7 linked regions of the Macaca fascicularis genome follow. The protein of the gene in region 4 interacts with the protein of the main gene of each other region in a pairwise test. Links are inferred from orthologs where the notes say so. Each region holds a gene or a part of one and is shown on either strand. Other genes may lie near its edges.

The links.
Region 1: the proteins of BAG6 (region 4) and SPP1 interact in binary tests that used the Homo sapiens proteins (3 or more experiments, as listed by UniProt). The link is inferred for Macaca fascicularis from reciprocal best matches to the Homo sapiens genes BAG6 and SPP1.
Region 2: the proteins of BAG6 (region 4) and TAC1 interact in a two-hybrid assay, tested with the Homo sapiens proteins (2 studies listed by BioGRID and IntAct). The link is inferred for Macaca fascicularis from reciprocal best matches to the Homo sapiens genes BAG6 and TAC1.
Region 3: the proteins of BAG6 (region 4) and CDKN1A interact in a two-hybrid assay, tested with the Homo sapiens proteins (2 studies listed by BioGRID and IntAct). The link is inferred for Macaca fascicularis from reciprocal best matches to the Homo sapiens genes BAG6 and CDKN1A.
Region 5: the proteins of BAG6 (region 4) and lithostathine-1-beta interact in a two-hybrid assay, tested with the Homo sapiens proteins (2 studies listed by BioGRID and IntAct). The link is inferred for Macaca fascicularis from reciprocal best matches to the Homo sapiens genes BAG6 and REG1B.
Region 6: the proteins of BAG6 (region 4) and SERPINI2 interact in a two-hybrid assay, tested with the Homo sapiens proteins (2 studies listed by BioGRID and IntAct). The two-hybrid records come from large-scale screens. The link is inferred for Macaca fascicularis from reciprocal best matches to the Homo sapiens genes BAG6 and SERPINI2.
Region 7: the proteins of BAG6 (region 4) and RNF126 interact in binary tests that used the Homo sapiens proteins (3 or more experiments, as listed by UniProt). The link is inferred for Macaca fascicularis from reciprocal best matches to the Homo sapiens genes BAG6 and RNF126.

What each region holds. Positions count from the first base shown.
Region 1 is NC_088379.1:93,530,490-93,534,587, forward strand, and holds the start of SPP1 (osteopontin), read left to right. Parts: upstream 1-1,298; 5' UTR 1,299-1,388; intron 1,389-2,465; 5' UTR 2,466-2,479; coding exon 2,480-2,533; intron 2,534-2,642; coding exon 2,643-2,681; intron 2,682-4,098. UniProt on the Homo sapiens protein: Major non-collagenous bone protein that binds tightly to hydroxyapatite. Appears to form an integral part of the mineralized matrix. Probably important to cell-matrix interaction.
Region 2 is NC_088377.1:123,598,303-123,602,498, reverse strand, and holds the start of TAC1 (protachykinin-1), read left to right. Parts: upstream 1-1,396; 5' UTR 1,397-1,505; intron 1,506-1,913; 5' UTR 1,914-1,922; coding exon 1,923-2,045; intron 2,046-3,025; coding exon 3,026-3,122; intron 3,123-3,543; coding exon 3,544-3,588; intron 3,589-4,126; coding exon 4,127-4,150; intron 4,151-4,196. UniProt on the Homo sapiens protein: Tachykinins are active peptides which excite neurons, evoke behavioral responses, are potent vasodilators and secretagogues, and contract (directly or indirectly) many smooth muscles.
Region 3 is NC_088378.1:134,986,958-134,990,988, forward strand, and holds the start of CDKN1A (cyclin-dependent kinase inhibitor 1), read right to left. Parts: upstream 2,801-4,031; 5' UTR 2,575-2,800; exon of another isoform or gene 2,524-2,574; intron 1-2,523. UniProt on the Homo sapiens protein: Plays an important role in controlling cell cycle progression and DNA damage-induced G2 arrest. Involved in p53/TP53 mediated inhibition of cellular proliferation in response to DNA damage.
Region 4 is NC_088378.1:140,074,943-140,078,442, forward strand, and holds part of BAG6 (large proline-rich protein BAG6), read left to right. Parts: intron 1-373; coding exon 374-491; intron 492-605; coding exon 606-802; intron 803-1,032; coding exon 1,033-1,086; intron 1,087-1,245; coding exon 1,246-1,320; intron 1,321-2,502; coding exon 2,503-2,738; intron 2,739-3,492; coding exon 3,493-3,500. UniProt on the Homo sapiens protein: ATP-independent molecular chaperone preventing the aggregation of misfolded and hydrophobic patches-containing proteins.
Region 5 is NC_088387.1:42,687,435-42,691,709, forward strand, and holds the start of lithostathine-1-beta, read left to right. Parts: upstream 1-1,475; 5' UTR 1,476-1,510; intron 1,511-1,808; 5' UTR 1,809-1,854; coding exon 1,855-1,918; intron 1,919-2,519; coding exon 2,520-2,638; intron 2,639-2,945; coding exon 2,946-3,083; intron 3,084-3,876; coding exon 3,877-3,988; intron 3,989-4,196; coding exon 4,197-4,264; 3' UTR 4,265-4,275. UniProt on the Homo sapiens protein: Might act as an inhibitor of spontaneous calcium carbonate precipitation. May be associated with neuronal sprouting in brain, and with brain and pancreas regeneration.
Region 6 is NC_088376.1:78,850,736-78,854,940, forward strand, and holds the start of SERPINI2 (serpin I2), read right to left. Parts: upstream 2,801-4,205; 5' UTR 2,790-2,800; coding exon 2,543-2,789; intron 1-2,542.
Region 7 is NC_088393.1:1,227,364-1,231,654, reverse strand, and holds the start of RNF126 (E3 ubiquitin-protein ligase RNF126), read left to right. Parts: upstream 1-1,491; 5' UTR 1,492-1,584; coding exon 1,585-1,659; intron 1,660-2,452; exon of another isoform or gene 2,453-3,342; intron 3,343-4,291. UniProt on the Homo sapiens protein: E3 ubiquitin-protein ligase that mediates ubiquitination oF target proteins. Depending on the associated E2 ligase, mediates 'Lys-27'-, 'Lys-29'-, 'Lys-48'- and/or 'Lys-63'-linked polyubiquitination of substrates.

The sequences.
Region 1 (4,098 bases), on a different chromosome or scaffold from region 4:
TGTAAGGTAAATAAATAGTGCAATCTGCATTTCACAACTGAGAAAGCAGATGAAGTAATCTCAAGACAATGTTAAATATTTTAAAAGGACCCAGAGCTCTGCTATCCCTGAATATTCAGACTTCCCCTGTAATTTTCTTTTATTCAAATACGTTTTAAATACCTAGTAAAGTGTTTTTTAATCCAGAAATTTTTAAAAATCTTTTTCTTTTTAAGTAGCCTAATTTACATACCCTGGGAGAAAAACTAGAAAAAAAGATGATTCCAAAATCGAATCTGTTCCTTTAGAAATGCGCAAAATTTCCTTATTGATGCATACCATTTAAAGATCTTACATCTACTCTCATTTTAATAACCTATTCTTTTTAAAGACATTACAATTCGTGACTGCCTGCCCCTCTTAAAAATTTCATACTAGTTAACACACATACACTCCTTAAGATACGCAGGGCATTTGTATCTAATATGTGCTAAGCATTGTTAGTTTAACATACTAATTCATTTAAACCTCTCAAAAATCCCATGACCTAGGTAATAGTATCTGCATTTTATGGATGAGGAAACAAGGATAGGTAGGCTGGGCGATTTGCCCAAGGTTGCACAGGTCAGCAGTGACACAGCGGAATTCAGAGCCACAGTCTGGCTCCTGAAGCGGCCCTCTCAGGCAGTCATCCTGCTCTCAGTCAGAAACTGCTTTACTTCTGCAACATCTAGAATAAGATACCATTCTTCTCTTTTATATAGAATTTTATATTTTAATGTCACTAGTGTCTTTTGTCTAAGTAACAAGCCACTGCATACTTGAAATCACAAAGCTAAGCTTGAGTAGTAAAGGACAGAGGCAGGTTTTCTGAACTCTTTGCAGGCTTGAACAATAGCCTTCTAGAAATATAGTTCTTCAATAAGTATAATCATATAGGCAAGAGTGGTTGCAGATATTACTTTTATGTTACTTAAACTGAAAGAAACAAAACTCCTTTCTATTTAATCTTACATTAATGTTTTTCCCTACTTTCTCCCTTTTCCATGGGATCCCTAAGTGCTCTTCCTGGATGCTGAATGCCCATCCTGTAAATGAAAAAGCTAGTTAATGATACTGTACATAAGTAATGTTTTAACTGTAGATGTGTGTGTGTGCGTTTTTGTTTTTTTGTTTTAACCACAAAACCAGAGGGGGAAGTGTGGGAGCAGGTGGGCTGGGCAGTGGCAGAAAACCTCATGACACATCTCTCCGCCTCCCTGTGTTGGTGGAGGATGTCTGCAGCAGCATTTAAATTCTGGGAGGGCTTGGCTGTCAGCAGCGGGAGGAGGAGGCAGAGAGCACAGCATCGTCTGAGACCGGACTCCTGTCAGGCCAGTTGCAGCCTTCTCAGCCAAACGCCGGCCAAGGTATGCCTTCAGTTTGCTACTGGGTTGTGCATTCAGCTCAATTTCATGGGGAAGTTCAAGTTCTAAGGAAAAATATTTTTAATTGTAATGCTGTTAAACAGATTTAAATTTTCTAGCCTTTTTAATAAGCAGATTAGATACATTGCAGGTCTCCTGGAACAAAGGTGTCTAGATATTTGGAATGCCAATCAAATATAAAACTTAAAAATACTTCCACTGGGTCCTCAAAAGAACGGAAACTACTGCGGCTAATCAGAAAATAGTAAAATTCAATTCCCCTTTGGAATAATTATACCTATATCATTTTCAACGGGTGACTGCAGGAATGTAAAAGAAAAGGGATCTTTTACACTAATTAAGCCAATTACAATGCTATTTTTTAAATGATGTATCTTATTTTCAAGGGGAAGAAAACTCTTTCTGAATATGTTACTGCTAAATTTAGCTGTTAAAATATTCACCAAGATACCTGCATGACACTATGTAGGCTTATTATTACAAATAGAAAAGTTGTTGGCTATTTTCAATGTTTTCCTTTGCATTTCAAATTTTTAGAACATCTTACTTAAATAACAAATTTCAGAGATAGTTTCATTTCACCTAAGTAGCATCTACTTAATAATTTAAGCTAAAAATCACATTTAAAGTACATATTGGAAAAACGAATAAAGCAAATTTTTTTCATTTTTTTATCTGTGCTTTTTCTTCTCTAAAAAGCATTCCCATACTAGCTTATTAATAGAATTAAGTTACTGTTGATCTGTTTGTAGGTTTAGTAGAGCTAGATATATAAGGTAGTAATCGTACAATTTCTGGAACTCTAAATTTAAAAGTTGAATAAATACAGACTTGTAAAATTTCCCTTTCCCTTACCTAATAAAGATGGAGAATAGGTGGCAATATAAATATTAACTTGAAAGACCATAATACTAAAAAGAAAAGGCTTCTCTAAGAAGTAGAAAAGATTTTACAGAAAATATATTTTATTTGTGATTATTTTGTAATGTGGTAGTACAAAAAGGTACCATTGTTTTAACCTATGAGGATGTCAGCTATTCCTTATGAAATGTTTTGCAGGAAAACTCACTACCATGAGAATTGCAGTGATTTCCTTTTGCCTCTTAGGCATCGCCTATGCCCTGCCAGTGAGTACAACTGAATCTTAAAGAAAATTCCTGAAAATAACTGAATTATGTGCTTCTATGTGCTAGGAGGACATTCTTGTAATCTTTCTTCATCTTTTCTGTTTCAAAGGTTAAACAGGCTGATTCTGGAAGTTCTGAGGAAAAGCAGGTAAGCATCTTTTAGGTTTATTACATAGTGAAATCATTTACTCAATTACAGCGAGAGGCGCAACAAACATATTTGCTGCAAGATTACTTATCTTCTCAGTCAAATCTATTGGTTTACAAGTATTTATTGACTGCCTGCTATGAATCTAGGCCAGTACCAAGCACAGTATAGTTTTTAATAAATATAAGTTTGTAAAACCAACCCAGATATTTTAAATATAATAATGTCTAGGCCAGTATAGCATGTAAGATAGAGTTATACGAAGCTGTGTGACTTTTTTTCCATTAGTCCACATATTGATCTAAAAGCAGAAAATTCCAGCTTTTGCTTTATTTAGTGGATTGCTAAGTTTAAAATTCACATCAGATATTAGTCAGAACTGTTTGTATGACCATAATATTCACAATATCGTCTGAGATATTAGCTGAGAAGCCCATTGTGAAAAGAAAGTCTATGTGTGCTGTTTGTATCTATTGTGATTGTCAGCTGATGTTAGATCACATTTTCCAACCAAACATAAGACCAACCAAACTCTTTATTATAATTATTTGACCAGCACTAAAGATGTACCTACCCCTCCACAACAGATGAAACCGTGCCAACCAAACAACAAATGGGCATTGTCCCCAGCAGCTTGGACAAAAAGGCACACAGAGTTCAATTCCAGTTGAACAGAATAAAGGCCAAAATAAGAGTTGCCTTGGGGGTCACTGCAATTAGATTTCTTAATGAAGACATTAAAAGAAGTATTCTGTGTGTGTTTGTGTGTGGGGGTGTGTGTGTCTGTTTTCCAACTGATTTGAAAACACAGATGTTGACTCCTAATAATAAAGCAGAAAAATTAACATCTCCAGAGAAGATAGAGGTCATACTATTTCAGGCAAGAATTAGTGCCTTTTTAATAAATGAAAACATGGCAAAGATGCATTTTAGAAGGCACGTGGAGTCATAACAATTTAAGAAATCTAGAAGGCTCAAGGCCCAGCCTTCTAGAATCCCAGAAACTTAAAGCTAGTAAAAAATTGGGGAAGTCTCTAAGGATATATGCCTGAAAATACACACTGGTTATCTGTGAGTGTTAGGATTACTGGGTGGTTTTTAGTCTATTCATTTTGCTTACCTTTATTTTTTTCACATTAGGTTTTAAAAATTATAAATTTAATTTATAAATCCATTCTCTCCAAGCCTGTATTACATGTGTCATGAGAATAGATAGATAGATATGAAAAAGTGAAGAGAAAAACTCTGAACGCATCTAGTCCCATTGTTTCTGCATCTTCTTTTTTTTTTCTGGGACAGAGTCTCGCTCTGTCACTCTGTCGCCCAGGCTGGAGTGCAGTGGCGCAATCTCAGCTCACTATAAACTCCACCTCCTGGGTTCACGCCATTCTCCTGCCTCAGCCTCCCGAGTAGCCGG
Region 2 (4,196 bases), on a different chromosome or scaffold from region 4:
AATGTCTGGGATTTTTTTTCAAAATAATTTGAGTGCAGAGGAAACTGGAAGGGTTGTAGATGAAACCTGGAAGTGGATGTACCTCTCTACTTTTGGAGATGCTGATAATTTTCCATATAAAAGTTCTGAAAACAGAAAATAAAATGCTCACATTGTGAGGCTAAGGTCAAAAGAAATCAGAAATGCATGAGAATTTCCAAATCCAGGGTTATTTAAGAACAACATAGAGGAAAAAATTTCTGGTTTAAGTTGCAAAAATGTGTTTCTTTTATACAATATACTAACAAATCATAATTAACTGAAAAATGTAACACTTTATATGTAAAGGGGAGAAAACTACTCCACCAAAGATGCCGCATTCATTTAGAGATCAAAGAAATGTGTCTGCCAGGCAACCAAGGGCTCATGGAAAGCTGTGGTTTGTGTACAAATGCTATTTGTCTAATATTTTGTGCGTTAATGACTGTCCCATTAGCATCTTCACTACACTTATTTTCATAGAAAGGAGAAACATGATTTATAGAGCCCTTTAGTGACAAGGGTGAGGATCCTATACATTATGTTGCTGGTTTCCTAGTCTTCAGCAAGAAAGTGTAGGAGAGAAGCAAAAAAAGTCCTGTTCCAACCCCTGCTCCTGGATGTGACAAGGAAGAGGAGTTACCCAGCTTGAAACAAAAGAAATCCTAAGTCTGACACACAATGTCATGTTTAAATTCCCCTTTCTCCAAAATGTAAAATAAATGTGCTTCCATCTTCTAAAATACTATGGGACTAAACAACCTTTTGTAATGCTAAGGAAATGCCAGTATTCTCATTGATTTAGGAGAGGGATGTTCTGGTCATAGAAAGATGCTGTGTCTCAGAAACACTTAAATACTCTTAAGCTAGAAATAGAGGGGAAAAGAATGCCTCCCTGCATCTCCCCTCAACTGAAGTCCTCCTTTCTTAGCCTGATTTCCGATGAAATGACTGAATGCCTACAGTTATTTGGCCATCCTCAAAAGTGCAACTTATCCTGACGTCTCAAGGGACGGAAAAGTTACCGAAGTCCAAGGAATGAGTCACTTTGCTCAAATTTGATGAGTAATCTCAGGTGTCATGAAACCCAGTTTCAAAGGAGAGGGGAGGGGGCGTCAGATCTGCAGACGGAAGCAGGCCGCTCCCGATTGGATGGCGAGACCTCGATTTTCCTAAAATTGCGTCATTTAGAACCCAATTGGGTCCAGATGTTATGGGCATCGACGAGTTACCGTCTCGGAAACTCTCAATCACGCAAGCGAAAGGAGAGGAGGCGGCTAATTAAATATTGAGCAGAAAGTCGCGTGGGGAGAATGTCACGTGGGTTTGGAGGCTCGAGGAGGCTGGGATAAATACCGCAAGGCACTCAGCAGGCGAAAGAGCGCGCTCGGACCTCCTCCTTCCCGCAGCCACCGAGAGTGCGGAGCGACCAGCGTGCACTCGGAGGAACCAGAGGAACCCAGCACCCCGCGGGACTGTCAGTCGCAGTAAGTACCCGCGCAGTGCCGGCCGCGGCTGCCCGGGTCACTCCACCCCGCATCTGTCCGAGGTGGCCGCGCTGGGTGCGCCGCTGCGGCGAGGGACAGTGGGGAGACTGGCTTCCCAAACGCCAACGCCCCTCTTTGTCTTCCACCTGCAGAGTTTCCTGGTTTGAAGGTGTGGGTTGGTGGGTTAGAGGGCTGAGGGAGTTGGGATTCAGGGAGAAGAGGGTTGGAGAATCTTTGGGACGCGATTCTCTCGCCTAACGGGTGCAGGTGAGACTTTAGTCCTTGTATTTTTTATCTTAGTTCATCCGTTGTGGGGCTGAAAATTCTGTTGCTCTAACTCTTGGATAACCACCCCTAATAGATATATTATTTCTCTCTTTGGTCTCTTCTCCCACTACCCCTTCCCAGAAATTCAACATGAAAATCCTCGTGGCCTTGGCAGTCTTTTTTCTCGTCACCACTCAGCTGTTTGCAGAAGAAATAGGAGCCAATGACGATCTGAATTACTGGTCCGACTGGTCCGACAGCGACCAGATCAAGGTGAGGCCCCTTCCCAGGACAGCCCGCACCCTTCTTCCTGGGCTCGGGAGCTGTCACCTTCCCACGCAGCAGCACCCTAGTTAACGTGGCAGGCACCGCGACCACGACGAGAGGCAGCGGATGCGTGCGGGAGGATGGAAAGGGGCGCTATTTCCCGGGTTCCTCACGGGATTTTGGCCCACGATTCAAGTTTCTTCCCGAGGGCTGCACCGTCCAGCCCAGGAACTCCCTGCAGCAGGGATGCCCTCCCGGATGAGCCCGAGATCCCCACAAGATCATAAATCTCGTAAGCTTTCATCCCTCAGGAATGGGGATTTCGGGGGCTCCGGTCCAGCTGCACTGCCCTAGCGTCTGGGCACGGGCAGAGGGCGCCTTGGTCGCGGGCAGCAGCGGGCACACGCGTGAGCTGCAGGGGGATTGGAGGGCCGGAGGCTGGAGGGAAGTTAATTTCCTGCCTTCACGTTTGTTTTGCGGACCTGAGGATGTAGCTTGAAGTTTCCCTTTAGAAACTCGTAGGCTACTGGCGCTGGGGAGCGCGCCTCGGGAAAAGGGTGAAAGTCGTCTATAAAACGTTGTCACCCTTTCCCACCGCAGCCCCAGCCCCAGATCACACACACCTGTGTGCATTTAGGGTGGTGAGGAGTCTACAAAGCCGACACCGAGACAAGACAAAGTCAGGTGGCGGCGCGGCAGATGAGGGAAGGTCCCCGGGCTGGGAGGAAAGAACGGAAAGCGCTCGAGGCTTGAAGACGCCGAGCCAGCTGCTAACTCGCCCTGGCAGGCTTGCGGGGGACGGGACGCGGGTTCGGCGAGGAGGGGCGCAGAGAGGGAGCGCCTCGGGAGGTACCCCGCTCAGCCCGAGCGTGGGGAAGGCTGCCTCCGCCCGCCTCGGGGCCGGAGTACAGCGGGAAGGGCTCGGGTTGCTGGGTGCCTCGCTCCGGTTGCCTTACACGCCCTTTGTCCGTGCTTTTGCCCCCCAGGAGGAACTGCCTGAGCCCTTTGAGCATCTTCTGCAGAGAATCGCCCGGAGACCCAAGCCTCAGCAGTTCTTTGGATTAATGGGCAAACGGGATGCTGGTGAGATGGGCGACCGTCCCTAGGTGTCTTGGGCAGCCCGCCCTGTCTGCTCTCTCCTTCTCGGAGTACCCCAGGGTCTCTCGCTCTGAATAAAGATTTCCACTCCAACAGGGGTGTAACCCAGGCGCGACATTGGTCCACACCGCACTAAGGCGCGCACGGGCCCGCAGGGGGAGGGAAAGATCTGGTTCGCATGCCTCACTGTGTTCGAGTGAAGCGCTCCCTTGACTAAAGATCCAAACTGACAAAGGGAAGACACGGGCCTCCAGGGGTAGTACTGCGGTTGATTCAAGTGCATGTGGAACAGGATTTTGTAGCATTCCCTGACATGAGAGTAGATTTGTCTTGGGATAGAAATATTGTTTCCTTGAATTTATCGCACCGTCAGTGGAACATGTAATGACAATTCGTCTCTTGTCAGATTCCTCAATTGAAAAACAAGTGGCCCTGTTAAAGGCTCTTTATGGTAAACATTCCTATAAATCTTTATTTTACTATTGTGTAAAGCACATGTAGGAAAGTGAAATAAAATCTTTTATGGGCTGAAATACAAGATCTAGATGATGCCTGTTTAATAAAGAGATGTATTTGCATACTCTCTCTCGATCTCTCTGTCACTCCCTTGCTGTCACTCTCTCGCTGTCACTCTCTCTCTGTCTCTCTCTGCCACTCTCTCTCTCTTTCTCTCTCTCTCTCAATGGGTGGCCAGTCTTGAAGGTGGGAAATACTACAGTCTTATAGTCAATAAGAGGTCTCAAAAGTCTCATAGTCCTAGGTTTGAATCCCATAGAAGGCACTTAATAAAAATTCCATTTGTTTGTTTAAATATTTAGTTTTTATTATTAATAAGTTGTTTAGCATTTATGGTTCTGCCTTATTCCTCAGGATAATATATAGATAGAAAATGTTACATATTTTGATAATCAAATTATTTTATAAAAGATATAATGTAGCATCTTTAAAAACAAATGTATATGTGTTTGCTAATTTTATCTTTCTTCTAGGACATGGCCAGATCTCTCACAAAAGTAAGTTCAAAATTGTTTTGACATTTATCAAATTTAAATGTAAAAT
Region 3 (4,031 bases), about 5.1 Mb from region 4:
AAAGGAAGAAAGGAAGGAAGAAAGAAAGAAAGAAAGAAAGAAAGAAAGAAAGAGAAAGAAAGAAAAAGAGAGAGAGAGAAAGAAAGAAAGCAAGCAAGCAAGCAAGCAGGCAGGAAAGAAAAAGAAAGAAAGAAAGAAAGAAAGAAAGAAAGAAAGAAAGAAAGAAAGAAAGAAAGAAAGAAAGAAAGAAAGAAAGAAAAGAAAGAAAGAAAGAAAGAAAGAAAGAAAGAAAGAAAGAAAGAAAGAAAGAAAGAAAGAAATAAAGAAAGAAAGAAAGAAAGAAGCACCTAGGGAGCTTTTTCAAAATATAGATTTTGAAAAATCCCTGCCTCTTGAGACCAACTTAATCCAAATTGAAGTTTCAAGCAAGTGTTTGGCACCGTTCCTCAGATGGGCACTCTTGGGGTGCCAGCCAAAGGGGGACACACTGGTGTGTTTGAAATGGACATTCTTGGTCTCAATACATCATAGGCACAAGGAGGAGGAGCCCGCCTAGGGCTTCATCAAGGAGCTGGATATTCCCTGGCTCCCGGGAGCTCAAGACAGGACTAGGATCTAGGCAGGTACCCTCTCCTCTTCTACCACCCATCCTTCTCTTATGGCTCTTATAGGCCTCTCCTCGCCCATCAAAATCTGCTCTCATGCTCATTGTCATAATAACTTTCAGCCCAAAGAAAACAGAAACGTAAACCCGTGTTTTACAAACAACTGAAAATAGCCTCCTTTATTGGCTTTGCTGCCTTAGACTTCAGCCATATTTTAATTTCCAGTAAGAGCTCAGTAAATACTGTTGAATCTAAGGAGTGCTCCTTTGAAGGGGTGGTAATGGCATAGGGGTTATTCTCGGAGTAGCCGCGGCGGTTCGCGCCGGCCAGCCCCACTCCGCGGGAAAGCCGGTGTGCTATTACCGCCAGGGCCGGGAGGGGGCGCCGGCCTCCAGGAAATCACGCGCGGGGTGGGAGGTGCGTGGGCAGAGCCTCGGACTGCGGGAGGGAGTAGTGATGAGTCAGTTTCCTGCAAGGCGCTGCTCGCCCGCCAAAACTCTGCTTCCACTCCGGCTGCGCGTCACCCTGGGGTGGGGAGGGGGAGCATGGGAGGGGACAGCGGGGGGGCGCCGCGAACACGTCACGCTGAGCCGGCCAGGCTTCCGAAACTCCCGCCGCTGTTGGGAAACCGCGCGCTCTTGTGCCGTCTCTGACACACACACACACACACACGCACACACGCGCGCGCGCGCACACACACACACGCGCCGGGAGCCGACCCCTCCACCTTATCTCCACGCCCAAAGCATGGGATGAGTCAGATCCCTGGAAAATAAAAATAGACGGGAGCAACGAAAACAAAACCGCTCGCAAGTCCTCCCAGAAACGCGACGTGGAGGGAGGGAAGGAGAGGGGAAGCTGCCTGGGCGCCCCAAGTTCCAAACCCAGCTCCAAGATGCTTTTCCGCACGAAGAGGGCGCAAGTGTCCCCCAGGGGTTCTGGACCGAGAGGATGCGCTGTGATCCGCGCCAAGTGGCGGCGCCCCAGGGGGCGACTCGCCCCCCTGCTCCGCTCAGCCCTGTCGCTTTCCGAGAGGGAATCTGGGCTAGGTCGGGGCGCCACCGAGGCAGCTGATGGAGGCCCTGAGCAGCGTCGTGCCCCCCAGAATCCCCACCCCGCAAAGACCTGACCCCTTACCACCTCCCACCCAGGCGTGGGCTCTGCTCTCGCCCCGGAGTCCAGCGCCCCGACCCGAGGGCAGGCTGGGCCGTGATTCTCCCGGCCGCGGTGGGAAAGAGTTAGAGGAGACCCTTGCCCTTCCCCGACTGACAGGCTGGTTGGAGCCCGCCCAGCGCAGAGTCGTGACTCCCCGACCCCTAGCGAAGCGGGGACCCGACGCGGTGTCCTGGACCTCCGGTGCCCTGCTTCCCTGGGAACAAGCTGTTCCAGCCAAATAGGTCACTGTGCCGATGGGAGGACGGAGACCGCGGCGGGGCAGGGGAGAGGGCTTCGGGAGTCCCATTGTACCCCTTCCCGGGCGGGGTTCTGACCTCATACAGTCCGTTCCCTGGGGTCTCCTTGTCACAGTGAGTCACCTCCTCGTTTGTCCTTAGGGGACGTGTCCTGGCACACTCCCAAGGGCCGGGAAACAGCCCGCGCTGACCTCAGTGCCCAGCCAGGTGGTGGACACAGTGGCGTAGAGGACCTGAACCTGGGACCTGGGCCAGGGCGGCGCCAGTTGGATCCGAGAGCCGCCTAGGACCGATCCTAGACGAATTTACTCCACTCCGCTTTCCTCGCCCCTCCTGGGCCCCTCCAGGGACACGGACTTCATCCCCAGGCCGCGAGCAAACTGCGCCTGGGGCCTGCAGCCAACCGCAGCCAAAGGCGAGCTCTCAGAGCAGTCCGGTCCACGCCCTCCCTCGCCCCAGCTGGGTTTCCAGGGGCGGGGATCGTGACCGGGGATCCCTGTACTGGTAATCCCGCTCTCTGCCCCGGGTCTCCGGCACATCCCGACCCCCGTCACCCGCGCACTTACAGATACCGTGTGCGCAAGCCGAGCGCGCACCGATCCACGCCCGTCATTCACCTGCCACAGAAACACCTGTGAACGCAGCGCACACCCGCGAACACGCATCCTCGCGGACACGCACGGACACACGCGGGCACGCTCGGCTCGGCTCTGGGCCGCCGGCCCGGGGTCCCCTGTTGTCTGCCGCCGCTCTCTCACCTCCTCTGAGTGCCTCGGTGCCTCGGCGAATCCGCGCCCAGCTCTGGCCCCACAAGGAACTGACTTCGGCAGCTGCTCACACCTCAGCTGGCGCAGCTCAGCGCGGCCCTGATATACCACCGCCCCGCCCGGGCCCGCCTCAAGGAGGCGGGACCCGCGCTCGGCCCACCGCGCCGCCCGGGACCGCCCTCCCCGGGGCCCAGGCTCCTGGCTGCCCAGCGCCGAGCCAGCTGAGCCTGGCCGAGTTCCAGCAGGCCAGCCGGTCCGGAACCTCGCGTGCTGCAGGAGGGCACTTCCCTCCTCCCCCAGTCCCTCGCCTGCGTTGGTGCGCTGGACATATTTCCCCACGAAGTGAGCCACAAATCTGGCTTTTTTTACTTGGAGAATGAGTTGGCACTCCCCAGGAGGACACAGCACTGTTAGAATGAGCCCCCTTTCTGGCCCACCGTTGATCCACTCTGGGGGTCGGGGAGTCCGACCTGGCAGGCAAGGATTTACCCAATGCAGCTGAAAAGATCAGGAGGATGACATTAATAAATAAAAATTCATAAATAATAAAAACGATGCACCTCTCTGCAATTTCCAGAAAAGTTCTATAATATCACCTCTATTCCCACTGATCCCTCACTAGGTCACCTCTCCCAGAAGCATCTGGAGCACCTAGACACCCCAACAAAGCATCTTGAGGCCGGAATGCTTTTCCAGTCTCGTTTATTTCACAGATGAGGAAATTGAGGTCCACTGAACTTAAGTATACAAAGTTGTTGATTGTCACATGCTTCCAGGAAGGAGGCAATTGGAGACACTACCAGAAAAGGGCAACCTGATCTCCAGGGAAACCGAAGAATTGGACATTGAACCAATCTCTGTACACCCTACACTCACCTCAACAGACGAAACCCCTGTGGTTGCAGCAGCTTTGTTGGCCAGGAAGGGGAGGATTTGACGAGTGAGTTGTCTGTCTCCTGAATACTCCCCACACAGCCCCTGTACGCTTCTGGGGAAACTGGGGCTCAGAGAAGTCTAGTGACCTAACTCAGATCATGCAGCAAAGAAATGACTATAGTTGGAACACAGGCCTTTTGCCTCCTGCCCAGGACTCTCTGCTTGTCATCCTTTATTTCTGTGGCTCCAGAATGACAAAAATGCCAAATAACCCTCATTTGCAGATGGTTTATGGAGATGACATAAATAAAGGACAACTCTGGAAGTGTCTACTGGTGCTTCTGACAGACACAGAGATGAATGACAAGTCTATCCGCTCCCATCTACCGCACACCCCTGCCCTCCCTTGGACTTCACCTTTGCCTCCTTTC
Region 4 (3,500 bases):
TAGTAGCTGGGATTACAGGCACCCACCACCATGCCTGGCTAATTTTTTTGGATTTTTTAGTAAAAAAGGGATTTCACCGTGTTGGCCAGGCTGGTCTCACACTCCTGACCTCACGTGATCTGCCTGCCTTGGCCTCCCAAAGTGTTGGGATTACAGGCGTGAGCCACCGTGCCCAGCCAAGTTTATTGTCTGTATTTTGACAGCTGTTACTTTAGTTTAAGGGTTTGCACAGTAATTATCTCACAGTCAAGACTAGTGGGTAGTGATTCTGGGGTAGTTTTTACACCTCACCTCCACAAGTTGGTTGTCTGTCTGTGTTCTTCCTTTTTTTTCCATTCTTTCCATTCCTGTGCATGCCTCCTCTTCCTTTCAGATGAATGTAAAAGAGTTTAAGGAGCACATTGCTGCCTCTGTCAGCATCCCGTCTGAAAAACAACGGCTCATTTACCAGGGACGAGTTCTGCAAGATGATAAGAAGCTCCAGGAATACAGTAAGGGGACTGAGGAGGCAGTTCAGAGGTTGGGGCTGCTGTCTGGAGGGATGAACTGAGGCCATGGGTTTACCTGTTCATACTATGTTTCGGTGTGTGTCTATTTTTCTGCAGATGTTGGGGGAAAGGTTATCCACCTGGTGGAACGGGCTCCTCCTCAGACTCAGCTCCCTTCTGGGGCATCTTCTGGGACGGGGTCTGCCTCAGCCACTCATGGTGGGGGACCCTCGCCTGGTACTCGGGGGCCTGGGGCCTCTGTTCATGACCGGAATGCCAACAGCTATGTCATGGTTGGAACCTTCAATCTTCCTGTAAGCTTATGTTCCACAGGGGAGGGGTTTTGTGGATAGCTTTGGTTGTGGTAGCAACAGGGAATAAGATAGATGCTTCCATCTTTAGATTGGGTTCAGGGGGCGCTGTGGTGTGCTATTGGTCTCAGTCTTTAAGGAGAAAAGAGGGCGGGGCTCCAGGGAATGAATTGGAGGTGTGGAGGTCTTAGTGTTGGCTTCTCCCAGAACAACTTCCCTTACCCTTTCCCCAGAGTGACGGCTCTGCTGTGGATGTTCACATCAACATGGAACAGGCCCCGATTCAGGTATTGAGGGGCCTCCGAGGGTCAGGGAAGGGGATCTGGGAGAAGGAGGCTGGGAGGTGGGTTGGACCTGACTGAGAGATGGCTGGGACCTGATTTAGTAGGTGGTAGAACTCATGGCTTCATCTGTAACCTACCCTGATCAACCTTCTCTCGTTGTAGAGTGAGCCCCGGGTACGGCTGGTGATGGCTCAACACATGATCAGGGATATACAGACCTTACTATCCCGGATGGAGGTAAGTGGGCAAGGTTGGCTAGAGTCTCTCCCCACCCTCCCTCCTCCGTTTTCTCTCATCCTGGGGGTTGGGGCTTGACTGGCCACATCCACAGGCTTTGGCCTTCATAATGCAGTCTTCTCTGCAGTATTCATTATTCTGGGCAGAAGAAGTATCTTTGTGAGACGTGCTCATTTCTGCCAATCCTCTGCCATACCTGCCTGGTATCCGGGGAGTTTGTTTCCGACTTGTCTCATGGCATCTCTTTTCAGTTAAAGGATTCCACATTCTTTTTTTTTTTTTTTTTTTTTTTTTTTTTTTTTTTTGAGACGGAGTCTGGCTCTGTTGCCCAGGCTGGAGTGCAGTGGCCGGATCTCAGCTCACTGCAAGCCCCGCCTCCCGGGTTCACGCCATTCTCCTGCCTCAGCCTCCCGAGTAGCTGGGAGTACAGGCGCCCGCCACCTCGCCCGGCTAATTTTTTTTGTATTTTAGTAGAGACGGGGTTTCACCGTGTTAGCCAGGATGGCCTCGATCTCCTGAACTCGTGATTCGCCCGTCTCGGCCTCCCAAAGTGCTGGGATTACAGGCTTGAGCCACCGCGCCCGGCCAGGATTCCACATTCTTAACTTGTGGAGGCTGGGAAACCAACTTATGGAGGACAGGAAACCACAGTCTCTACTCTTTGTTAGAAAGTTATTTACAAATATTACAGATGCTGCGGCCAGGCATGGTGGCTCCTCCCTGTAATCCCAGCACTTTGGGTGGCCATGGCAGGGGGATAACCTGTGGTCAGGAGTTCGAGACCAGCCTGGCCAACATGGTGAAACCCTGTCTCTACTAAAAGTACAGAAATTAGCTGAGCGTGGTGGCACACACCTGTAGTCCTGGCTACTTGGAAGGCTGAGGCAAGAGAATCGCTTGAACCTGGGAGGCGGAGGTTGCAGTGAGCTGAGATTGCGCTACTACACTCCAGCCTGGGCAACAGAGTGAGAGACTGTCTCAAAAAAAAAAAATTACAGATGCTTATTACGCATCTAATTTGTGTCAGTCTTATGCTAGTTGCTAGAGAGTTAGAGATACAATTGCAGAGCCATGCCTTCAGGGAGTCTAGTTAGGATACTTTCTTTGTCCAGTCTCCTGCAGAGTAATCTTCTGCAGCAGTCTTATCCTGCTTTTGGTATTCTGACTCTCCCCTACCTTCAGTGTCGAGGAGGACCCCAACCGCAGCATAGTCAGCCACCCCCGCAGCCACCAGCTGTGACCCAGGAGCCAGTAGCCTTGAGCTCTCAAACATCAGAACCAGTTGAAAGTGAAGCACCTCCTCGGGAGCCCATGGAGGCAGAAGAAGTGGAGGAGCGTGCCCCAGCCCAGAACCCGGAGCTCACTCCTGGTCCAGCCCCAGCGGGCCCAACACCTGCCCCGGAAACAAACGCACCCAAGTGAGAGATGGAGGGAATCTTTAGGGGGTGGGAAATCCTAAGTGAAGTATGGGGAGAAGAAAATGAACCATGGCAAGGGAGGGAAAGGATTACTTGGAGGTCTTAGTTGAAGGTTACCATTGAGGGGCGAGGAGGGGCTCTCTTTGTATAGGTAAATGACGCTAGGACAGGCAGCTGAGAAGAACTGCTCTCCCTACGGCAAGAAAATCCAAATAGTATCTCCTGAGCCTGATGAGAATTCTCTTCTCTGAGTTCACGTAGGCTTGCTCTTTTTCTTAGAATTAGTCTCTCACCATTGTAGGTGCAGGATTGTGGTGGAGAGGGTGGGAAAAGTTCATTTTCTTCTCCCCATCCTCTCATGGGTGGGAGTAAAGAATAGAAGCTTTGGCCGGGCACAGTGGCTCATGCCTGTAATCCCAGCACTTTGGGAGACCGAGGCGGGTAGATCACCTGAGGTCAGGAGTTCAAGACCAGCCTGGCCAACATGGTGAAACCCCATCTCTACTAAAAAATACAAAAATTAGCTGGGTGTGGTGGTAGGCGACTTAATCCTAGCTACTTGGGAGGCAGAGGCAGGAGAATCGTTTGAACCCAGGAGGCGGAGGTTGAAAATAGAAGCTCTGCTGGTCCAGAGAAGGATTGGGCCAGGGCTCTGGGAGACCAGGGAGAAGGAGGGCACATGTGGTCCCTGTTGACTGTGAGGTTGGGAATCTGAGGAAAGTTTTGGCTCACTGCCCCTTGGGTTTGTCCACAGCCATCCTT
Region 5 (4,275 bases), on a different chromosome or scaffold from region 4:
CAACATGGCACAAGTATACATATGTAACAAACCTGCACGTTATGCACATGTACCCTACAACTTAAAGTACAATAATAATAAATAAATTAAAAAAAAAGGAATTAGCCCTTTAAAGCACGTATAAATATTATTAGTTTGTAAATTTTTGCAACTGACTTTTAAAATCCTTTTTAAGTTTATATATGCTTTTGAAATGAGCTCATGTTTATATAAAGATATTAACTTATTTAATTTAACTCCTGTTAGTATTTCAAAATATATTATTTAGTCATTTATCCCGATTGATATAGCCATCTCTATTTCTGTGAACATTTTGGTTAGTTTTTCAACTGAATTTTAAATTCCAGATTTGCTGTTGCTCCCTGAATCTGAATGGATTTTTAATGGGAATTTCAGTAAGTGTTTAATTTCCATCACTATCTGTAACTTCACAACAACAGATGATTGACTTCAAACCAACAACTTCATATTCCACTACTTTGAGCTTACTTAGGCATCACCTCCCTGTAGTTCCCACCTGCTTGGACTTTGAGAACATCTGTAGCCTGCTAGCTACTTATACTCAAACCTTGCTGGAAATGCTGGTTTAAATTTACATAACTACTAAACCTTGTGATATGGTGTGGCTCTGTGTCCCCACCCAAATCTCATCTCAAATTGTAATCCTCATAATCCCCATGCGTGGATGGAGGAACCTAGTGGGAGGCAATTGGATCACAGGAGTAGTTTCCCCCATGCTGTTCTCACAATAGTGAGTCCATTCTCACAAGATCTGATGGTTTTATAAAGGGTTCTTCCCTCTTCACTCTCTCTTGCTCACCTGCCACCATGTAAGACATGCTTTACTTCCCCTTCGTCTCTATGACTGTAAGTTTCCTGAGGTCTCCTCAGCCTCAGGAAAGTCTGTGAGTCAATTAAACAGTGAGTCAATTAAACCTCTTTCCTTTTTAAGTTACCCAGTCTCTGGCAGTATAGCAGTGTGAAAATGGACTAATACACTTTGCCTTCTGAAGTAGGTTTGAGAGCTTCCTGAGCCTGAAAGGGAATGGAGAAATGACTTAAAGCCACCAGCTAATTGGGCTTAATCATTTGCACTCAATTGACTCTTCCCCTACCCCTACCCACATCTAAACCAAAGAAAGGATCATCCCATATTTACATAGCACAAAGAAATCTACTCTTCTGCTCTTTCTAGGATGGCTAAAGGCCATGGGAACTGGACACGTGGATGCTGTGGGGGAAGGACAAAGCCCAACATCAACTTGGACAGTTTACTAACCTGTTTATGGTAAGTTGATATCATTTGTGACCACTCCTAATGTGTGCCAGTAATAAGCTATTCCTGATGCCAGAATCTCTTACTGTTAGTGCCCTTTGTAGGCCTTCTGACCCTTACTCCTTGCTCCACCCACTGTTTATATCATGTGGTTTTCTCTCAGACCCTGATATAAAGCTCCTACTCTGTCTGACCTGACAAGCCACCTCAAGTGGACAAGGCACTTACCAACAGGTAAGGGGGCATTACAGGAGAAGAGCATGTCTAACATGGGATTTTCTCTTCATTTTGAGGTAGATACAGGGTGATTTTCTGAATAAAAGATCCCGGTAGTAATGAAGCTTAAGCAAAACCAAAGCTGATTTTGGGTAATTTGGCCTCTGTTATCCCCAAACCAAAAGAGAAATATCTGCGAGTGTAGCTATCTCAGTGGACCTTCCTGGTCACAGGAATTCCAAGAGGAGAGGATGTTAGAAAGATAATAGGGGCTCTGCTCTCTTCTTCAAACCCTCTTCCCTGTGTTCTCCTACAGAGATTGCTGATTTGCTCCTTAAGCAAGAGATTCACTGCTGCTCAGCATGGCTCAGACCAACTCATGCTTCATGCTGATCTCCTGCCTGATGTTCCTGTCTCTGAGCCAAGGTGAGATTTTTTTCCCCAGACGTCCCACAACCCCAGCTCTGAAGTCTTCCCTCCATCCTCATGCATAGGGTTCACTTGAAAAAAAGCAGAGTGAACATCAGAGGTTGATCATTATGGCTGATCTCATCCCATTCAAAAACATCCTCATTTCATTCATGAGTTTGAGACAGAATTTAATAAGACCACTTATAGGTGACCATTGTGGTTGAGTTTATCTAATTGAATCTATATGTGATGGCAGTTGGATGTTTTTATGTAGTCATTAATAGGATGGAGAGCTAAGGCAAACATGTACAGGGAAATCAAGAGAAACTTGAGAAAGGTGGAAGACTGGGTCTTTAAAGGCAGAAGCCTGAGCCTCAGAAATAAAAGGGAAAACGAGGACACATTTCTTTAGCCTATTCATTACAAGCTCTTGTATTGAGCAGAGGAAACTAGAAAAAAAAAAAGAGATAGGATGCAGGGAGCAGAAGTAAGGAGTCACTCCAGTACACACTGTATCAGTATGTTCTTATAACGGAAACTGAAAAGCCCCTAATTCACCTTCCAGCCTTTTCCTTGCCCTGAGAGTCTTTCTTAATTACCTCTTTTTTTCCCTCAGGCCAGGAGACCCAGACAGAGCTGCCTAATGCCCGAATCAGCTGCCCAGAAGGCACCAATGCCTATCGCTCCTACTGCTACTACCTTAATGAAGACCCTGAGACCTGGGTTGATGCAGATGTGAGTGAGGACAGCAGCAGGGGAAGGGAGGCTCATGAAGGTAGTGGCAGCTGCTAATTTGCAGTGTGTTCTGTGGCTGCAATGAGATAAGATTGATCCCTTCCCTATTCCACCACTGGTCCAAAACTTCCCAATCTACTTTATCCCATTATTTAACACATTCCTAGCACAGAGATACTGGTGGTCAGTGACAGCGTCACCAGGGACATTTCTGTGCTGTCCTTTTTCTGTTACATCCTCTGGAAGATCTCAGTAGATCCTTCACACCTTCCTCCTCCACTGAGTGCTCCATTTTCTTCACCTACAGCTCTACTGCCAGAACATGAATTCAGGCAACCTGGTATCTGTGCTCACCGAGGCAGAGGGTGCCTTCGTGGCCTCACTGATTAAGGAGAGTAACACTGATGACAGCAATGTCTGGATTGGCCTCCATGACCCCAAAAAGGTCAGTCTGCAGCCTCCTCTATCTCCTTATAAACATTTTTGAGAGGTAAGAGGGATGTTTAAGGTCTGGCACCTCGAGCGCCAACTTTTATCTTTTTGTTTTTCTAAATAAAAGAAACCTCTTTATAGATCCTATAATGTATGAGTTGTGAAGTTCAGTGTAGGTAGTTAGAGACATGAGCTGAAGGCTGAATTTTCTGGGCTCCTGGGAATTCATGCACACACTCATTGTGTCAACTTTTGGAAATGCATCTTTATGTACAACTTCTTCCCTATTTTGCTATTGTCTGTCTTGGAAGAGGTCCCTCTGTAGACTGTATAGGAAAAGAGTAGTGGAGGAGAAATCTACTGCTGGCATTTGTTATACATTTTATACAAATGTATAAAACTGTACAGTAGTTGTTGATATATTATTTAGTTTAACACTGTAAGTGTTTAGTTTAACACTATAAGTGTTAAACTAAACAATATATCAACAACTACTCTACAGCCAATGTTATGTTGTATATGAGAGTTCTGAGCTTCAGGAAAAAAGATCAGAACCACTCTCTGTAATGGGCTTTTATGGGTCTCTGTATCAAACTCTGAACACTTACTATTTGCTGGAAGAGGAGGAGGAATTTGGACATTCCAGAGAAGGAGCAAAAGCAGAGGAAATAATACGACATTCATGGTGACAACAATGATTATTCTTTCTGCTATATCTTGGCCTGTTTCTGAGTGTGCACACAGGCCTGGTTATTCTATTGATTTTTGAGTGACCGTGGCCCCTGTTCTGACCCTTCTCCACCTAGAACCGCCGCTGGCACTGGAGCAGTGGGTCCCTGGTCTCCTACAAATCCTGGGACATTGGAGCCCCAAGCAGTGCTAATGCTGGCTACTGTGCAAGCCTGACTTCATGCTCAGGTGAGAGGCAGACAATCTATCCATCTGTTGTTATTTCCCTCCCGTTTTTCTCTGGGGATGAACATGGGAACTGGGATAGAGGAAAGGTGAGCTCTTTATCTGGAAAATAAAGGAATATTTCCTCTTGTTTTTTGTTCTGAGTCCTAGATCGAGGAGGGGCTACCCTCCTTCTGATCCTCTCTGTCTGACTCTTCTCATTATTCTATAGGATTCAAGAAATGGAAGGATGAATCTTGTGAGAAGAAGTTCTCCTTTGTTTGCAAGTTCAAAAACTAGAGGCAGCTGAA
Region 6 (4,205 bases), on a different chromosome or scaffold from region 4:
TTGGTTTCTAGATTAATGACATTTTTAGCACAGATCAAAAAAGAATGTATATATACACATATGTATACATATATATGTGTATATATGTATATATATATGTATATGTATGTGTGTGTGTGTGTGTATATATATCTCCTAATAAGTAATGAGAACAAGTTTATTTCATTTTCTAAAATAGAGCCATGGATAACCCACAGGTCATGGGTGAATGTGGCTCTTGATTTGATTGTACCAGACCTCCAGAAAATGTTCTAAAATTCAGTGCATGTTCTCTTCTGCTAGTAAAAGTCTAAAAGCCAATTTTGTGTGCATATGGGAGATCCAAAGATGAAAACAAAGGTAGTCATAGAATTATAGATTATTTCAGCCAGAAGGTCCAAATAAATTACCTAACCTCAACTTTTCTTTTTACAGTGAGGAATCTGAGGCCCAGAGAGATTAAGAAGCTTCACAAGTGACGTTACTTGTGCCAAATCACAAGGTCATTTAGTTGCAGAACTGGGACAGGAATTCATGTCCCGTTCTCTTTTCAAACCCTGTGGAAAAAAGAAGCACCTTCAATTTTGCCTTTCATTCGTCATCAGCACTAACAGAGGTAAAGTAAAAGGGAGTATTAACAGATGTTCAGCAAAACGGAGGTGGTAAATTCAGAGCAGATGTTTTGACAATGAAGTAAAGAAGAAGACCTGAGGACACTGAGAGTCTTACATAATATATAATAATTCATATTCTTATTAATGTATTAATGAGAATATATTGCTCTTATATTCTTAATTGTCACTGAATTATTTTAGGAATTAGCGCTGAGCAAATTATTTAACCTTTCTTTGTCTCAATTTTCTGAGGTTTATTAGAAGGTTGTTTGCCTAACAAACTAACTATAAATATTAAATGAGAGAATATACATTAAGCGCATGAAACAGTGGCTGATATGCTATCTGTATTTTTGACAGTGCATTATTATTATTATCATGTTCACAATTCACACTTGTTAAAACTTCTGTGTTTCTCTATATGATGTATCCATTTAAAGTCATTTAGTTTCCACAGACTCTAATTTATGTATCTTCACAAATATTGTATTACTTTTTCAAAGCTATAGCATGTGATTTAAACATTTCTGGGAGTGGTGTAGTGGGATTTGCTGAAATTAATCAAGTTAAATCTGGAATACATTGACTTCAGTATGCACTATTTGCAAAGAAAAATTCTTACAATTCACTTCACTATCACCAACTTCTTTTCTGTATAAAATTGTCTTTATTTAAAATGAAGCAAATACAGTCTTGTAAATAGTATTTTCAGGAAAGCAAATTTATAAATACAGTTACCCTGTGACAAGAAAAATATACTGAAATTATAGTTGTAGCAACTAAATTCCCAAATCAAAAATCTATATTTAAAACACAGTATCTCAGAGTAATCCAAAAGCTGAAAATTAAAACAACTACAGAAACTGAGAGGATGAGATAGCTAAGGAGATGAGCAACAACTTTTTTTTTTTTTTTTTTTTTTTTTTTTTGAGATGGAGTCTGTTGTGTTGCCTGGCTGGAGTGCAGTGGCACGATCTCAGCTCACTGCAACTTCTACCTCCTGGTTTGAAGCACTTCTTCAGCCTCAGTCTCTTGAGTAGCTGAGACTATAGGCACATGCCACCATGCCCTGCAAATTTTTGCATTTCTAGTAGAGATGAGGTTTCACCACATTGGCCAACCTGGTCTCGAATTCCTGACCTCAAGTGATCCACCGCATCAGCCTCCCAAAGTGTCGAGATTACAGGTGTGAGCCACCATGCCAGCCAAGCAACAATTCTTTCAAATGGGATGCCAGCACAAAAGCACAATATCCCAGTAAGAGGGATAGACACTATCCCAGACAGACCATGAGGAGACTCCAACAAAACAACCAGCATTCACAAGCACAAAGACCTCTGATGATTTAAATCCTTTTTTTTTTTCCTACTTTCCTTTTAAAACTACTAACAACCTCTTAAAATGAAGAAATTAATGTTTTTTCTTGGTCTTGTTACAGATAAGGTGCATTTTTTTAAAAAGAAATGTTGGAGACAACCTACTGAAGAAAGGCTAAATAAGTAACGGTATTTCTAATAAGATACAGTAATTAAAATTGTATTTTGAATCAGTTCCATTACATGGGAAAATGATCACAACATAGTGATAGTGAAATAATATGTATGTATATAGATGTATATTTTATGACTAAGTACATACACACACATATGCACGCCCAATATAATCTCAAGTAATTAAAACTGGCTAAAACAAACCAGAAGAAAATGTACAAATATATACTTAATTTTACATTTACACAGATGTCAATTTCTCAATAATTTTTGTAACTTTTTAGAGGAAATAATTCTAAACAAATGAAAATTATATTTACAATTCTCCATTTTATTACAATTTTCTACTTTTCATTACATTTTCACTTATTAAAATTTTTTTATCCTGAACTTCTAATATTAAAAAATGAATGTGTCCTTATCTTATCCAGTATAAGTAAGGAGATGTAAGGGTCTCACCAGCTGAGGTTTCCTGTTGTTTTAAAGTTTGTCTTATCTGCTGCTCTGCTTTTCCTTTGGCTCCCAGTTGTACCATCTCAAGAACCAAAGTTATTCCAAGGGGTGAAAATATAATGTTGTTCTTATGAGATAAGGAAAGCTCTTGATAAAGATCCACTGCAAATTCGGTATTTTTTTTAGCTGAGCGTCTTGAGGCTTGACTTCCAAAAAACAGCAATAGGAGACTCCACAACAAGATTGTGTCCATTTTGATTCCTCTGTATCGTTTAAATCAAAATGTATTCATTTTCAAAATAGAGTTTTCCATAGAGAGCTCAACAGAAAACTTTCTACCTATTGTAGCTTTCTATCTTAATAGAACTTACTAGCACGAGTGAACTCTATACAATTAGATTTCTAAGTATCATCTGTTTAGAAAAAATGGTTCAAGTGCTAATGGTATTTCTTATATATCTTCAAGAACCAGTAGAAAATTTACTTGTAGCTTTGTAACAAAAACCAAAAAATACACTGCAGTGTCGGAATGTTATCAATGGCAATGGAATCTCCAAATAGTTATACAATAGTTTTTTCTATCTTTTCTCATGCTTTTTAAGTGGGATAACTGTAACTCTGACATCAGGTAAACCTTCTGTGCAGTCTACTCTACAGTAATTTATACATCACGAGGAGAAATGGAATAAAGACAGACTTACTCCCGTGTGATTTTAGACCTATAATATTAGAAAATTAATGTATTCTAAAATAACTGAGTAATCGGGCTAACTTTTTACAATTTTCCTCACTCTTTATTTCTTAGGACAAAATAACCCAAAGCCCTCTTCCTGCTTTTCCAAAAGAAGAAAAATGCAATGCAGAAAACCTGCAAAGTTTGAGACAAAATGGCAATCAAATATAAATGATACAATAAAGTACAATGCTCACTACCTGGGTGATGAGATCATTTATACCTTAGTGTCAGGCCATATACCCATGTAGCAAACCTGCACATGTACCTTTTAATCTGTAATAAAAGTTGAAATTGTAAAAGAAAAAATATAAATAAATGAAATATAATATCAAAGAATTGACAAAAATACTAACATAAGAGTAGCAGCAATTGAAAACCATAAACAATTCACAAGATTAATAATACCCTATTAAAGTGCTCTCCACTAAAATTGCAGGAAATTCAACCATTTGATTATACCTCAAGCAGAATTAGTTTTGCAATATTACCACATATTTGGTAGAATGCTGACTCCAAGGCCTCATAAATTTTAGTAACAATAATTTTACCTTATAAATAACACATGTTAGTAACCCTTAAAAACGTATCCATCAGTAAGTTACCAGAACGTAACCATTAATTAGTGGTAAAGATGAAAGTCTTCAGAATAGTGTGTTGTCAGCCTTAAGTAGAGACTTACATTTCTAGAGTGTTTTGCAGATCATTAAGGGGGCCACCATGACCCACAAATGGGTAGGAGTCACTAAGAACAACTGTATTTATATATAAAGATTACTAATAGTCAAATTTTCTTCCAAACTAAACTATGGAGTTATTATTTAGATATTTCAAATTATCTTTCAATGTATTTTGTTAAACTGTATTTGTTTAGACATACATTTGCAAAAGACAAAAATCTCAAAAAACAATCCAAGGCAATTGTTAGAAAATGTG
Region 7 (4,291 bases), on a different chromosome or scaffold from region 4:
TGCACTCCAGCCTGGGCGACAGAGCCAGACTCCATCTCTAAAAACCAAACAACAACAAAACAAACAAACAAACAAAAAAACCCTTCAATGCACAGGCTCCAACTCTTAATTCCTCAACAGTCTGGCTCCAATGCCTCATTTTGCAGGAAGTCCAACTCCAATCAAATCCTGTTCATCCCTCAAAACCCTGGTTCCAATGTCCTTTCCCCTCGGAAGCCCTTTCTCTCTCCCGAGGCAGAGCTGGGGTCACCCCTGAGTCCCATACTCCGGTCCAATCTCATGGGGCCGGGGGTCTCTGCGTGCCTTCAGCATAGGGTCTGGTATGCAGTAGGTGCTCAATGAGCGTTGAGTGAATAAAGAAATACATGCATGAGGCCGGGTGCGGTGGCTCACGCCTGTAATCTCAGCACTTTGGGAGGCCGAGGTGGGCGGATCATGATTCAGGAGTTCGAGACCAGCCTGGCTAAATATAGTGAAACCCCGTTTCTACTAAAAATACAAAAATTAGCCAGTGTGATGGCACACACCTTTAGTCCCAGCTACTCGGGAGGCTGAGGCGGGAGAATCGCTTGAACCCAGGAGGTGGAGGTTGCAGTGAGCCGAAGCTGTGCCATTGCACTGCAGCCTGGGTGACAGAGTCAGACTCTGTCTAAAAAAAAAAAAAAACAAATACATGCCATGATTGGGCCAGAACGAACCTCAGACATGATCCTGGCCTGCGCTGGGTGTTGATACCGTGTCTACTGATTAAATTTGGAAGTGGGGATTAGGTTTCCTGCCCTCTCCGCACCCGGGAGGCTCCTGGGCCGTTAGCCTCCGGAGCATCTTGGAAACAGGGCCACAAGCCACGGACCTCAGCCTCTATCTGACCCCACGGGTCCCAGCCAGGCCCAGGCAGCGCCCTGAGCCCCCGTCTGCCTGTATTCCGCAGCGCTGAGGGAATGCCTGCTGTGTGTCAGGCGCTGCTGTGGGTCCAACAATCCCTTCGCTGCGCAGCTGACCTGACGGTGCCACGGGGCAGGAGGGCAGCAGAGGAGCCCTTGTAAGCTGACATTTGAGCAAAGACCTGGAAGAAAGCCACGTGGGGGTTGGGGGAGCGCTGCACCGGGAGGGGGCGGGGAGAGGGCGCCTGGCGAGCCCCAGGAACAGTGGGGACAGTGGGCTGAAGCACCATGAAGGGAGAAGGCGATGAGGTAGGGAAGCACTGAGGGACACGAGGACCCTGGCAGCTTCGGGAGACTAGGAGGGCCTCGGCTCCATCTCGCGCAGGCCCCGCTCCTCGTCTCTTCCGCCGCCTGGACTTGGCCCCGCCCCCGTCGGAAGCCCCACCCCCGCTGGAACCCCGCCCCCGCCCGGAGCCCCGCCCAACGGCCGGGCCTATTTTGTCTCTCAGCGGCCACCGTCGCCCTGTCCGCGGCCGGCCGAGTGCGCAGCCTACGCCGCTCCCGCGTCCGCTCTCCGCCCCGCGTGCCGTGCGTGCCGTGCGTGAGCGTGCGCGGGCGCGTCGGCCGGCGAGGGAGCAGCAAACGGCCGGCGGCGGGCGCCGCGCGGGGGGCGGGCGGCGCGGAGTAGGCGGCGGCGGCCATGGCCGAGGCGTCGCCGCAGCCCGGACGGTACTTCTGCCACTGCTGCTCCGTGGAGATCGTCCCGCGCCTGCCGGTGAGGCCCGGGCCAGGGCGACGGGCGACAGGGTCTGTGCCACAGGCCTGAGGCAAGGCCGAGGCCGCGGCCGGGGTGGGGGTCGCTTGCGCGAGCTGGCCAAGATAGGGAAACTGAGGCTCGGGGCAGCGCCGGCCCAGGCTGGATCCGCGGGGAACCCGGGCGGTGCGGGCGCGAACCCCGTCCTGCACATGCGGGAAACTGAGGCCTGGGCGGGAGGCGGGGCCTGGCCGGAGCGGCGCAGCGGGATCGCGGCTGGGTGACCCCACATCCGCGGCGTTCCCGACCCGAGAGGCCGCGAGGATCCCAGGTGGGACCTCCGAGTCCGGTGAGCCTGGTTTTGCAAACGGAGAAACTGAGGCCTGGCGAGCAGAGAGAGGGTATTGCTCGGTGGCGCGGCGCAGGGCAGGGGCCAGGCCTGGCGGGGCCTGGAGGAGGGGATGGCGGGGCTCGGACCCCGAGAATAACGCCAGGGGACCCCCGCCGAGCGCGTGGTCTGGGGCGCCGGCGCCTCGCTGCAGGTTCGCCTTGTGGAGCCCTGGCCGCCGCCTTGGAGGCAGGCCCAGGCCCGGGAGGCTCCAGGCACCGTCCCGGGGTCCGAGCGCGGCCCCCCGGCGGGGCTTTGTGACCGGAGCCTGCGTTCTTCCCCTCCCGGGGCTTGGCCGGGCAGCCCACTCCTCCTCGAGGTGTTTACAGCCACCCCTCGCCCGGGAGGACCCTGGGCCTAGGCGTTCCGAGTGCTACTTCCTGCTCGTTCAGGGCAAGGTTCCCCACGCGGCCCTGATGTCACCTTGGGGGAGGTGGGAGCTGTGCTGGTCGGACGTGCTATTTCCAGGCCCCTTTTCCAGGGTTTCGGAGTCAGTCGGTGTGGAATGGGCTCAGCAGTCTGTATTTTTAATATTATTTTTAGGAACACGGTGGTGTTGCCCAGGCTGGTCTTGAACCCCTGGGCTCAAGCGATCCTCCTGCCTCAGCTTCCCAAAGCGCTGGGATTACAGGTGTGAGCCACCGCGGCCGGCGGTGGTCTGCATTTTTAACCCGTGTTCCCCTTCCCCAGGCTGACGTGGGAAGTGGTGATTTAGTCGAGCCACGCCTGCTTGATAGATGGGGAAACTGAGGCCTGTGGTGGCTCAGCAGGAAAGGGGCAGAGCCGGCTCAGTCCGGAGCCGCTTGACGAGCTTGAGGGGAGCAGCTGCAGGAGGTGGAGGGGTCTGGACTCCCCACCCCGTGCCCAGGGGAAGAGACTGCAGGCATTGAGGATTTACTGTGCTGTGTGCGTTGCCGCCTGGCTGTTGCTACGCTTTGACCCCTAAGGGGAGCCCAAGCCCCCAACAAGCAGTGCAGAGACCCAGGAAGGGGCTGGAGGGAGTCGGGAGAAGCCGCCTGGCTGGGGTCACAGAGGAGGAACGAGTGCTAGAGTGGGGTATGGCAGGACAGCGGTGCCAGGCCCAGAAATGGAGAGAGAGGTGTGGTTTCCTCTCTACTGAAGCCACCGGGTTTCCCCTCCCCCGCAGGAGGAACAAATAAAGTGAAATCTCGGATGTGGGGTGAAGGCTCTGGGGCTGAGACTGAGCCTTGCCTTGCTCCTCTGTCTCCCAGGGGTCTCGCTCCTGCTGCTTCCCGCTTCCTGTCCCCACTGGCCGTGACAGGAGGGGCTGGTTGCCTGACAGCCTGCCTGCCTGGGTGAGTTGCAGGGCAGCCCCTCGCAGCCGCTGTGAGCCGTGGGACAGGCCCTGGGAGGCCCCCAGGAAGGCCGAAGTGGTGGCTGTGGCGGGGGGGCCAACGCTGCCCTGACCTGGCTGCACACTTAGCTGCTCCTGGAGCCTGCACAGGACTGGTGGCCTTGGACAGGGAGGACCCTGACCTCCTCTGACTGTCACTGGGCCTGGCGAGGCTTTCCTGTGGTCACAGGATCTCAGTGGTGACAGGTAGTTGTGGTCTTTGCCCTCACAGACTTTACAGGCTGGCCAGGGAGCCAGCATGGAACAGTGATTGACAAATATTTAATCATGGACGTTGGTAAATTCCTTAAGAGCAAATAACTACAGGGAGGGCTGCCGCAGGACTGCCTGTCTCCACCCCACAGGTGATCCAGAGGGCACCTGCTTGTGCCTTTGGAGCAGGACGCAACAAGGCGCCCGTAGACAGCGTTGTAGTGTCAGAACTTCTTTGTGCGTGGCGAGACCCTGTCTCTACTGAAACAATTAGTGGGGTGTGTTGCTGCGCGCCTGGAGTCCCAGCTCCGGGCGGGGGCTGCGGTGGGAGGAGCGCTTGAGCCTGTCAGGTGGAGGTTGCGGTGAGCCGTGATGGTGCCACTGCACTCCAGCCTGGGTGACGAGCAAGACGCTGTCTCAAAAACGAGTTTTCTGTGCTGGGAAATGGGCACACCTGGTTCTGGGGCGGGAAGGAGGGAAGGCTGCTCCGAATCTGGTAATGGGGAAAGTCCCCAGCCACAGCCAGCGCCCTCGAAACGGCGTCTCTGCCGATGGGGAGCTTGCGCGGCAGCTGAGTCTGAGGCGGCGGTGCTGCTGCTGAGACACCTGGGCTGGCTGGCAGGACACTCCTGCCTGCCTCTGACGCAGAGGAGACTGGCTGCCCGGCTGCCGTGGGCTGTGTGCCTGCCCACAAGGGC